Caenorhabditis elegans: one gene and its partner. The protein of the gene in region 1 interacts with the protein of each later gene in a pairwise test. Each region holds a gene or a part of one and is shown on either strand. Other genes may lie near its edges. The genes, in order: gmn-1 and cdt-1.

The links.
Region 2: the proteins of gmn-1 (region 1) and cdt-1 interact in a two-hybrid assay, tested with the Caenorhabditis elegans proteins (one study listed by BioGRID).

Annotation. Positions count from the first base shown.
Region 1 is NC_003281.10:12,223,142-12,227,247, forward strand, and holds gmn-1 (Geminin homolog), read right to left. Parts: upstream 2,191-4,106; coding exon 1,945-2,190; intron 1,789-1,944; coding exon 1,492-1,788; 3' UTR 747-1,491; downstream 1-746. Other genes in the region: gphr-1 (Golgi pH regulator), read left to right, coding at 490-693; Y75B8A.18 (Clathrin light chain), read right to left, coding at 2,573-2,722, 2,779-2,928, 2,978-3,052; Y75B8A.19 (RING-type E3 ubiquitin transferase), read left to right, coding at 3,527-3,572. UniProt on the Caenorhabditis elegans protein: Inhibits DNA replication by binding to the DNA replication licensing factor cdt-1. Its interaction with cdt-1 prevents the cdt-1 loading of the mini-chromosome maintenance (MCM) complex onto DNA and therefore DNA replication licencing.
Region 2 is NC_003279.8:3,222,431-3,229,950, forward strand, and holds cdt-1 (CDT1 Geminin-binding domain-containing protein), read right to left. Parts: upstream 5,675-7,520; 5' UTR 5,538-5,674; coding exon 5,472-5,537; intron 5,413-5,471; coding exon 4,449-5,412; intron 3,336-4,448; coding exon 2,483-3,335; intron 1,361-2,482; coding exon 1,189-1,360; 3' UTR 730-1,188; downstream 1-729. Other genes in the region: rom-5 (rhomboid protease), read right to left, coding at 320-520; txl-1 (Thioredoxin-like protein), read left to right, coding at 7,018-7,268.

The DNA of each region.
Region 1 (4,106 bases):
TTACATTCCAGCTTGAAATCGCGAGATTCATTTGCAACCCCAAAGAAATTCTCAGTGGAGCGCGCTTGCTTCGTGTCGATTTACGAGAGATTTTTTTTCAGTTTTTTAGCGTTTTTCCTACATTTTTGAGTTCTGAGCTCAATAAATGTTAAATTGACACAAAAAAAATTTTCAGAAAAAAAACCTACAAAAAATCGACAAAAATTAAGGAAACACGCACGAAATAAATTTTAAAAAACGGAAAGCTCCCGTAAATCGTCACGAAGCAAGCGCGCTCCAATGAGAATATCTGTGAGCGCGCATTTGAAAAAAATGATTCGGGCGCGATTTCAAGGTGAAATATAAAATCAGGGAAATTTGTTCGAATTTTTTCACATAGATATTCGGAATCAGGGGAAAATTTGGAGTCATTCAAGAGCATTTTAACAGTTTTTTCACCAATTTTTCAATTAAATTTTCGATTTTTCAATAAAAAATTGAATTTTTCAGGGAATGTACTTCGTTTCGAGCGTCCTATTAATGCGTATGAACGTGCCCGAGGAGTATCGAACGATTCTGACGAGAATTCTCGGCGATTTGAAATTCAACTTCTACCATCGCTGGTTCGACGTGATTTTCCTAATATCCGCCGTCTCTTCTATTGTTTTCTTGACACTTATTCACAAATCCGGTTCTTCAATGTTTAGGGCATAATTATTTGTTTTTGTGGTTTTGTTGCTGGTATTTAAATTATTTTAAACTTCGGGTCGCATAGAATTTGAAATTCATTTGATAAAAAAACATTTTAAAATTGAATTGCGTTGAAATTTGGTAAAACTCGTAAAAGGAATGAAGTAAATACACAAGATATATATAAACACGAGGTAGCACGCTCCCCTCGAAGCCGAATAATTATTCGAGCGCGCTTGCTACGCTTCGCGTTTCAGCGTCGGCTGAGTTTTGCTTTTCCACTGAAAATAGCAGATTTATCGAATTTTTAGCTTAAAATTTTTTTTCGGCTTTTTACGAACCAACCTTTTGTTAAACGGTGAAAATCAAATTTAAAATGACTAAAATGAACTTTTTTCGTCCACTGGTTGTGAAATGGTTTGAATTTGAAGACATCAGCGGGATTTTTCGTATTTTCTGAATATTTTTCGATTAGAATTCGGTTTTAAACTATTTTTGACTCTAACGTTAGGTTACAAGTGCATTAAAACCGATTTTTAATTGAAAAATATTTAGAAAATAAGAAAAATCCCGTTGATGTCGTCAAATTCAAACCATTTTACAGCCAGTGAACGAAAAAAGTTCATTTTAGTCATTTTAAATTCGATTTTCACTGTTTAACAAAAGGTTGGTTCGTAAAAAGCCGAAAAAAAATTTTAAGCTAAAAATTCGATAAATCTGCTATTTTCAATGAAAAGGCAAAACACCGCGGGCACAGAAACGCGAATCGTAGCAAGCGCGCTCTAATAATTATTCGGCTTTGAGGAGAGCGTGGATAGTAATTTAAAGTTGCGCGGTGCCAATCTCCTCATCCGTCTGTTGCTCCTCGTCAATGTCGGCGAGCACTTCGAGAAGAATCTCCGTGTCATCGTCGATTTTTCGCATTTTTTCGTCGAGATCTCCGAGTTCGGCGACGAGACGCTGATTTCTGTCCATTTCATCGTCCAGATCCATTTGCAGACGGTCAGCCATCACGCGAAGATAGTTTACAGTTGGTTTTTCAGATGTTAGATCGGCTTCTGTGATTTTTGGTTGAACGTGTGGGACGTTGATGATCGTTTGCGTGGACACTGTGCCGTACTGCAATTTTTTTGATTTTTTTAAAATAAAATTTCAAAGTTTTAATAAATATCTATTATACCAGCTGCTTTCTCGTGTTCTGATGAATTAGCGATAATATACAAAGCATTGTAGATATATTTATGCCGATAAATCTTTTTAATCATCATTTCATACCTCAAACATCTGCGTCTCCACGTTTTTTGCCTCTTGATCATCATCACAGAACACGTCGAATGGAGATAAAACCGGTGTGATTGTGGTGGCAGAAGCCAGCGGGGACGGTGTGATTGGCTGATATTTCTTGAGTTGGGCGGTGAGCTTCAGCGGTTCTGGAATTTGCTTGGTGCCGGTGGCCTTCTCGGAGCCAAATGGACTGTTGCGTGCCGAGTTGTTGAGCTGTTGAAGGCCGATTCTGCTCATCTGAAATTTTTTTTGTTGAAAATTACACAAAAATAAGCAGAAAAAATTGAAATTGCGGCGAAAAATGGTGAAAATTTGAGTTCAAAATTCAAAAAAATAGATTTACGCGGGCCCCTAGGCCCGTAGGGTCTCGCCACGAAGCACGAGAAATTAAATTTCGAACCCTGCGCCTTTAAATTTACCGTACCCCAAAAATCGATTTTTCGGTGCAATTTGGAGAAATTAAATGAAAAAATACAAAAAAAAGAAGAAATAACCAGCTCTGATGATAAAAACAGAGAAATTAAATGAAAAAAAGACATCGACAAGGAGCAAAAATGCATTTTATACAGAAAAATAAGTATTTTTATAGCAAAATTAGAAGAATCCGGATTAATCCGAATTATTTACAGGTGCTCGTGTCGGGTTCTTCTTCGGAATCGCCGTTTTCACTTGATTTTTTCAATTTTTCGTTTCCCAAATCGAAGAGTCGCGTGTATTCAGTCTGTTTCGCGTCGAGCATCTCCGATTTTCGACTTTTCTCCACTTCCATCTGCAAAATCAATCGATAACTGTATATTAATATATCGCGTTGGAAAAAAATAAAACCTTCTCATTCAACGCTTTAATTCGATCCACTTCATTCTGTCGATTTGCAACAATTGACTCCCAATACGACATTTCTGGATTTTCCGTGTTTTTTCGATATTTTGTAATCGATTCCTCTGCTGTCTGTGTTGTCATATTTTCTACAGCAATCTAAAATAAATATTTTTCAATTTTTTTTTTTTTTTTGAAAAAAACTTACCTCTTCAGTCTGACATCCGACTTCTGGGGATAAATTGTTGGTTGTTGGCTCCCCGAGCACTACAAAATCACTCATCTCGAGAAAAATCGATAAAAACTGGCTAGAAATTGGTGAAAATGGTGTTGAGAGACAGGTGTTAGATTCGAAACACCCGCCATTGGTGAAGTGCGGTGGAGCGCGAGTGCGCCGCGTGACGTCACGGCTCCGTTGAAATGCAATTACATGCAATATTATAGAGATTTTCGAATAATATAAGAAATTATTGTTAGTTTCTGAATGAAATCTGACCAATAAATGATTAATTACAACATTTTTACAATATATCGTATATTTTGTATTTTAAATTGCTCTTTAAAAAATCGATCGATACACCATAACTTTATTTTACTAGAATAGTATATAAAATTCACTTTTTTTCCATTTTAATGCCAACTTCCTCCCCCAACCAACCCCAAAATCGTTAAAAAAATCGTATTTTTCATTCACAAATGTAGTTAATTTTAAGATTTACAGAACTAATATTCTATGAGCGGAACAGGATTGTTCAAAATGGTGTTGCAACACCAATTTGACGGCCTACTCGAAGTGATGCCTGGTTTGTAATTTTTTTTTCTTAAGAAATTTGAAAAATATCTCGATTTTCCAAAAATTTTCTCTTTTTTACACAAAATTTGTCGAAAAAGATTGAAAGTAATACAATTTCGTGATTTTTGCGCCAAAACTACGGTGCCCGGTCTCGACACGACAATTTTTAGTTAAATTGAACAAGGTGTGCGCCTTTAAGGAGTACTGTAGTTTTAAACTTTCGTTGCTGCGGGATTTTCGATTTTTTTCAATTTCAAGTAAATTTAAATTAAAAATTTTTTATTTAAACAAACTTTAAAAAAAATCGGATTTCTGGCTTCCCTCCATAAATTGAAATGGAAGAGTTTTTTGCCGAACTAGGCCAGGCCATATCTGGGGTAGATTTACGGCGCGTTGCGTGTCGCATCGCGGCTCGATTATAGTCCGTGAGGAGTACACGACACTTTTCCACGCGAAAAATTCAATGAGGAAGGCCTGAACCCCGTATTAAATTACAGTAACCTTTAAAGGCGCATACCTTTTCCATAAAACAAAAATTTGTCGT
Region 2 (7,520 bases), on another chromosome or scaffold:
CAAAAATTTGTAAATTTTTTGACTTTTTGAGGAGATTTTCGCCGAAAAAATAAACTTTCTAAACTAATTTAGGCGCAAAATTCATTTCTCAGCATTTTTTCCGATTTTTGGCATTTTTTAAAGCGAATTTTTGATATTTTTCAAGAGAAAATATGCGGATTTCTTGAATTTTTTTTTTAGAAAATTTTCGCTTTTTCTTTCAATTTTCAATGAATTTTTGATATTTTTTACACAAAAAAAAAACCTTTTCTACTTCAATTTTCGCCGAAAAAACTGATTTTTTTACTAATTTTCAACTAAAAAATAAAAAATCCCGTACTTTCCACAAATCCGACATCGGCCTGACAGTTCTAGCGTCTGGACTAAACGCCTGCTTAATCTGATGATTTTTCGTGAGCTCTTTGAGCTCCTGCTGTCGTAATCGATCCCGTAATCCGTCACGTGTGAATCGGCTCGGCAGGCTTGTGCATTTTGTGAATGACCGGGAGCAAAGAAAGCCAACGAGGCGATTACTGAGCATTTTCTGAATTGAAAAATTATAGAAAAATTGAATTTTGTTTTAAAAATTTAGTTTTTCATTGAAGAATGATGAAAAATACATAAACGGTTGAAAAACGGATCGCGAAATGCGCCAGCAATGCACCGAAAATGCGCCAAGCGGAAAATAATTTTTACGCTGAAAATGAATAACAGCTTGGAATAAAAATTTTAATTCCATTTTAATTTTCTAAATAACGTTTTGATTTATTTGAAATTTTAAATTTGAAATTGCAAGAGTGATAACTTGGAAAAAAGTGAAAAAAAATTGGAAAATGGTACAGAGCATGAGAGAAAAAACGAGAAGAAAAATAGTTACAAGTGACGGATTTTTTGGAAAAGTTCCGATTTTTTCAGGAATTTTCAAAGAAATTCTGGAAAATTGAGAATTTTTAGAAATTCTTTGAAAATGTTCAGGAATTACAAAGATTTTCGAGAAGTTATAGTGGAAATTTTGTGATTTTTCGGGAATTTTTTGGAGAATTGTATTGAAAAATTTCCGATTTTTTTCCGGAAAATTCGTGAAAAAATCGAAAAATGCTCAAAAATCTTTGAAATTTCTGGAAATTCTTTGGAAAAAAATTAAAAATTGCAGGAATGTTATGAGAGAAAAGTGAGAAAATTAGTTACAAATGGCTTAGAAATTAGTTTTTAATGAAATTTGAGAGATCTTGCTGCTTTGGATGGCCGTGGTGTGTGGTGGTGGCTCATTTGTGCAATTTGGGTGTTTCGTTGCTCATCAATCTTTTTCTGAGTAATTTGGAGCTCTTCATCGAGCAACTCGTTGATTGCTTCAATGTTGTTGTCGGTGAATCGGAAGTATCTGGAAAAAAATTAGAATTTTTTTTGTTGAAATTTTACGATTTTCAAGTAATTTTTTTCACAAATGTCTGTGTCGATTTACGGAGCTCGTGTACTCCTCGAGGAGAAGTTATGTTTTTTTTGGTGGAAATTTTTGATTTTGGTCCATTTATTGTTGGAAAACCACAAATTTAATTTTTGCGATTTTTTTTTTGGAAACTTCTAAAAAATTTGGAGAATTTTTATGATTTTTTTAATGCTAAAGTAGTAATTTTGAATTTCCTATTTTTAAAATGAATTTTTCGAAATTTTCCAAGGCGAATTTTTCGAGAATATTAGATATTTTTCAAAATTTAAAAAAATCTGTAATATTTTAAACTCTCGCAGAAAATTGTCATAATTTTTTTTTTGGGAATTTTCAGGATTTTTTACAAACAATTTTTTCGAATTTTTTAAAAATCTCCAAACATTTTTGCTAATTTTCAGGAATTTCCGATTTTTCAATGAATTTTTAAAAAAATTCAAAAATTTTCAGACGAATTTTTAAAAGAAAAAAAATTTGCAGAAATCATACAAAATCGAGCACCATATCCAAAAACTACTCTTCTCCTCGTGGAGTACACCGTCTGCGTAAATCGAGACAAAGAAATTTTTAAAATCAAATTTTCCGATTTTTTTCATAACTTTTTAAAAATTCTTTGATATTTTTCAAAAATTTCTGAAAAACCACCGCGAATTTATGGAAAATTATATTTTAAAACTTGCGAAATTTTCAAGATTGATTTTTCTTTCAATTTCGATGCAAAAGAATTTGCAAAAATGACCCGAAATCGAGATTTTTTTTTAATTTTCAAAAAAAAAGTTGAATTTTCTGAAAATTCCCATTTTTGCAAATGTTCTGATATTTTTTTTTTACTAATTTGCTGCTTTCTAGAGTTTTCAGCATTTTTAAGAGAATTTCCGATTTTTCAATGAATTTTAAACATTTTTTCAGACATTTTATTTCAAAAAATTTGCGAATTTTCAACATTTTTTGAAAACAATTTTTTAAAGTTCGCCGAAATCATCCAATTTTCAAGTTTTTTCTTTCGATTTCGATGCAAAAGAATTCGCAAAAATGGCTCAAAATCGAGAAAAAACGAACTTTTTGTTCATTAAACTAGCTTCAGAGATGTACATCGGTGCGACCTCACACAACAATCTCAAATGATCCATAATATCAGGAATCGAAGACGAGTTGGACGAGCTGAACTGCACAAATTTGCAAATCACATCAATTTCCATCGTCTGAGCCCGTTTCGCCGTATAATGATTGCACACAATTCGAACATATCGGTCACGGAGCAGTGTTAGACGTTGCTTTCTTCTCTCAAGATCCTTATCAATACAAGCTTCAGCCGCCTTTTTGATTGCTTCCTTCGCACGAATACGCTCTAAAAGTGACATTGCTCCCTGGCTCTTCTGCTCTTTTTGCATCTCGGAGAACTTTTTCGGCGAGATTGGAACTGTTCCAGATGCTCCTGTAGTTGATTTCAGTGGAGATTTTAAGTCTTGATAAGCTTTTTGAACAAATGATGGTAGAGATACTTGATCCATATATTTATCTAAAGCTTCTTTCATTCCAATATGAATCGATGATTTCTGTAGAGGAGGTTCTGGAAGTTTCACCTGCGGCAGTGATGGACAATGCTTGTCAAGTCGGAATAATGGATGCATTCTCTTAATATTCGAAGAAGCACATAATCCTTGAGATTCCAAAAATTCCGTATGACATTTCGTGACAATCGAGGCCAACTTATAACGGAAAACATGAGCTCGGTCTCTTTGACGAGCAGCGTCCAGGCGAATCCTCCCGTCGACTTCTGGCTTTCGGAGAGCCGGTTGAACTTGTTTTCTGGGGCTTTTCTTTGGGGAGAGCAGCTTTGATGGGCAGACTAGTGGAAGATCTTCGGTGTCGCCGTCGGTGGGGGATTTTTCGTAAATGTAGCCTCGTAGATCTGCAAAAAAAAAGGTTTTTTGTAAGCAGGAAACTTTTTTTTGACTAAAAATTGGGGTTTTTTCGAATTTTATAACTAAAAAATTGCGTTTTTCTGGGATTTTTTGAACAAAAAAAGGTGTTTTTTTCAATGTTTGGCCACAAAGATTGTGTTTTTCTCAGATATTTTAAACTAAAATATTGCGTATTTTTCGCATTTATGACTAAAAAATTGCGTTTTTTTCGGATTTTTGAACAAGAAAGGTGTTTTTTCGTATTTTTTTGACTAAAGAAATGTGTCTTTTTTTTTCGATTTTTCGACTTAAAATTGTGTTTTTTCCAGATTTTTTAAATTAAAAATAATTGTTTTTTTCTAATTTTTTGAACAAAAAATGGTGTTTTTTCCAATTTATAAATAGCGTTGTTTCGGATTATTTGACTGAAATATTGTGTTTTTTTTTCGGATTTTTTGAATAAAAATTCGGTATTTTCGGTTTTTTTTACAAAAAACGCTGTTCTATCGGATTTTATGACTAAAAAATTGAGCTCTTTCGGATTTTTTGAATAAAGAATTATCTTTTTTCCGATTTTATGACTAAAAAACGGTGTTTTTTTCCCGGATTTTTTTCTTAAAATTGAGTTTTTTCGAATTTTTTTACTAAAAAATTGTTTTTTTTTTGGATTTTTTAAACAAAAAAGTTTTTTTTTCGAACATCTGGTAAAAAGCTGTGTTTTTTCTTACTTTTTGAAGAGAAAATTGTGTTTTTTTTCAGTTTTTTTTTGAGCAAAGCTAGTATTTTTAGAATTTCCAAAAATTAATATAAAACCAGGGCTTTTTTTTTGAATTTTTTGAAAAATTTTCACATCAAAAATCAGTATCAGGAGCATGAATAGGGTCTGTTAAAAAATAGAGAAATATTTTATTAATCGTTAAATATTTTCGAGTTCAAAAATGTGTGGAGGTGATCAAACAGAGAAGAAAAATCGATAAGTCTTTTTAAACTTAAAAGAATGCTATTTTACGATTAATATAATATTTTTTCTATTTTCTGACACTAAATTTTAATGGAATACGTCAGAAATAGCTGATTTTTTAAATGTTTTTATTGCAAATTGCCAACCGAAAGCTACGAACCTTCCACGAGATTCGGTCGAACCTCAAGTTCATACTTCCCGCCCTGGCCGAATGCTTTTCGCTGTTCACGCATCTCAATATGATATGATTGAGGATATACATGAAGAATTTGTGACAAATGTTCATTGGAAAAATCCTTTCCAGACGTATTCTTAACATTCTTGATCAACTCAGGAACCACACAGCTTCGATTCTGACCGATAAAGATCGCAGTGATCTGATCGATTCGTTTGAAAGTATCAGCGAGATGTTCATACGCAGTTGGAAGTTCAATCCGTTGACGTGCACTCTCCTTAACTTCATCAATAAGCCGTGAGCTCTTCAGAAACTCTGCAGTCATTCGTTTTCCCTCTTCTTCGTGAGCATCATCCTGCTCTCCGCGAACTTTTTCGGCCGATTTCAGGACATTAAAGCCGGGAATAATATAGTCTGGAACTGGCTTCTTCGGTGAGAACAGATTACGAGCGGCCTTGGATTTCTGAGGTGATTTGTGATGCTCAACAATAACTGGTTTCTTCGGAGATTTCAGCAATTCCACGTGATCATCGACCTGCTTCGTTTTGTTCTTCAAATTTTGCTCATGAATCGCTTTAGCTGCTCCTTTTGCAGCTATTCTTGCTTGTAAATCTGCAACAGTTCGAATTCCAGCCTTCTTTTTCGCTGGGCCGGATGCTTCCATTAGCTTATCGATCGCTGACTTCTGAGGAGCCGGATTTTCCAGAATAATATCTTCATGGATTTTGGGAAGCTCAGGGGCTTCTGCTTCAGCTTCTCTAGCTTTTTTTGGCGGAGTTCCGGAACTCGATAATTCCGCTTGACGGGATGGAGTCCGAGCGCGAGTTCGGGAGGATTTATTCTCGACGATTGGAGCAGCAGGAATTTGTACTTCTTTAATTGTAGTGGTCTTTGTGATGCTTTCATCGATAATCTTCTTTTCTCCTCTTGCTCTCGGTTTTCTGGTGGTCTGAAAAAGAAAAAAAAACATTAAATAATTGCAATTCATAACTTCAAACTCCAATTTACCTTGAAAAAGTCGGTTACAGCAGTCTGCGGAGTCTGGGACCTGGATCTAGTCACCCGGGAACTCATTTTTATCAGGAATAAATAATAATTTCAGCGAAATTATTCGCGAAAACCAAAAAATAAATGGGAGAGACGACAGACAAAGCGTACACTTTGAACAGTCCCGGTTTCCCGCACTTTTTGTCCATTGGAGCGCGTTTGTTGTCCGCTGCGTCTCCACGCTTCGTGCACTCCCTCGCCGCACCGGCATTCATTTTGAATGCTGACAAATCCACGTTTCATGCCGATTTTCTTAATTTTCCGGAATTTATACTATTTTTTGCATATTAAAATTGTGTTCAGAGCGTTTAAAAGTGCTTTTCACCTATTTTAGCGTGTAAAATGCCCAAAATTACCCAAAAATCAGTTTGAGAATGAATGCATTTTACTGTGGAAACCTTCAAAAAATCTTTTTTTTAATGAATAATTATTTAAATTGGCGTGATTCCTATATTTTTTGAAATTTTTTTTTCGTTTTTTCTTCTGAATGAGATATCTTTTGCTCCTAGAACTATAAACTGAACAATTTTGGAAGCGGTGATCCCAGAAATTACAATTTTTCGGTCAAAATTTCCCCAGAAATCGCCCAAAAAATAACGAAATTTCACAATTTCTGCGTATTAAATAGCTAAAATATATTCGTGCATTGTTCCGGGAGTATTTACAATAGCTTTTGCCAGAAATCCCAAAAAAAATGATGCGAAAGCTTAAAAATTGGAATTTCAGCGGGAAAAATTCAACAAATTCAACTACAAAATAACAACTTTTTTCAAAACCCAATTTTTTTCTTTAATTTTTCTTTAGATTTTGGGGATTTTTCCCATTTTTTGAGATTATTTTGCATTTTTCGATTAAAAATCCGTATTTTAAAGGTGGCGTAGTCGAATTTTTTTAAAATTGCTTCATTAGACTCAAAATTGTCTCAAAACACCGAATTTCATGATGAAACTGCTTGAAAACTTCTCAAAAAAAGTTATGACTGCTCAAAAAATGGCCTAAAATTAGTTAAAATTTGAAATTTGACCGACTTGTCAAGCGGCTGGAAACTAACTTTTTTGAAATTACCGTCTAATTTTGAGTATACAATTATATTATCTTGCATTTTCAATTTGATTCAGATATTTTGAAGTCGATGGACGGCGAGATTTTTAAATTTTTTAAACCAAATCTCGCCGTCCATCGACTTTAAAATACCTAAATCGAGTTGAAAACGCAAGATAATTACATTTTATATATACTCAAAATTTGACGGTGATTTCAAAAAAGGTAGTTTTTAGCCGCTTGAAAAGTCGGTCTAATTTCAAATTTTAACTAATTTTAGGCCATTTTTTGAGCAGTCATAACTTTTTTTGAGAAGTTTTCAAGCAGTTTCATCATGAAATTCGGTGTTTTGAGACAATTTTGAGTCTAATGAAGCAATTTTAAAAAAATTCGACTACACCACCTTAAAAAAATAAGTGCAGTAATCTAAATATTAAATTAATTTTCAGCCCATCTCCCCTACACCATGCCAGTTATCAACGTGAAAGACGACGAAGACTTCAGAAATCAGCTTTCCCTCGCTGGTCTCAAGTCAGTGATTGTCGATTTCACTGCAGTCTGGTGCGGACCGTGCAAAATGATTGCTCCAACATTTGAAGCTCTGTCCAATCAATATCTTGGAGCAGTTTTTCTGAAAGTTGATGTGGAGATCTGCGAGAAAACCAGCTCAGAGAACGGTGTCAATTCGATGCCAACGTTCATGGTTTTCCAGAGCGGGTATGGGTCTCATCTGGAATTGGAATAGAAATGCGGGAAATTTGAAGAAATTGCAAAAAAGTGAAGTCTCAGAAATTATTTCATTTTGAATATCTTGAAAATATTGATTTTTGCAGGTTTTACGAGCCAATTTGCAAGAAATTTATGAGTTTCCAAATTAAATTTTTTAAAGATAATCAAAACAGGGCTCTGCCATTTTTAATATGCTATAATCCAACTTTTTGATCTAAAATTGATATAGAAATGTAGAAA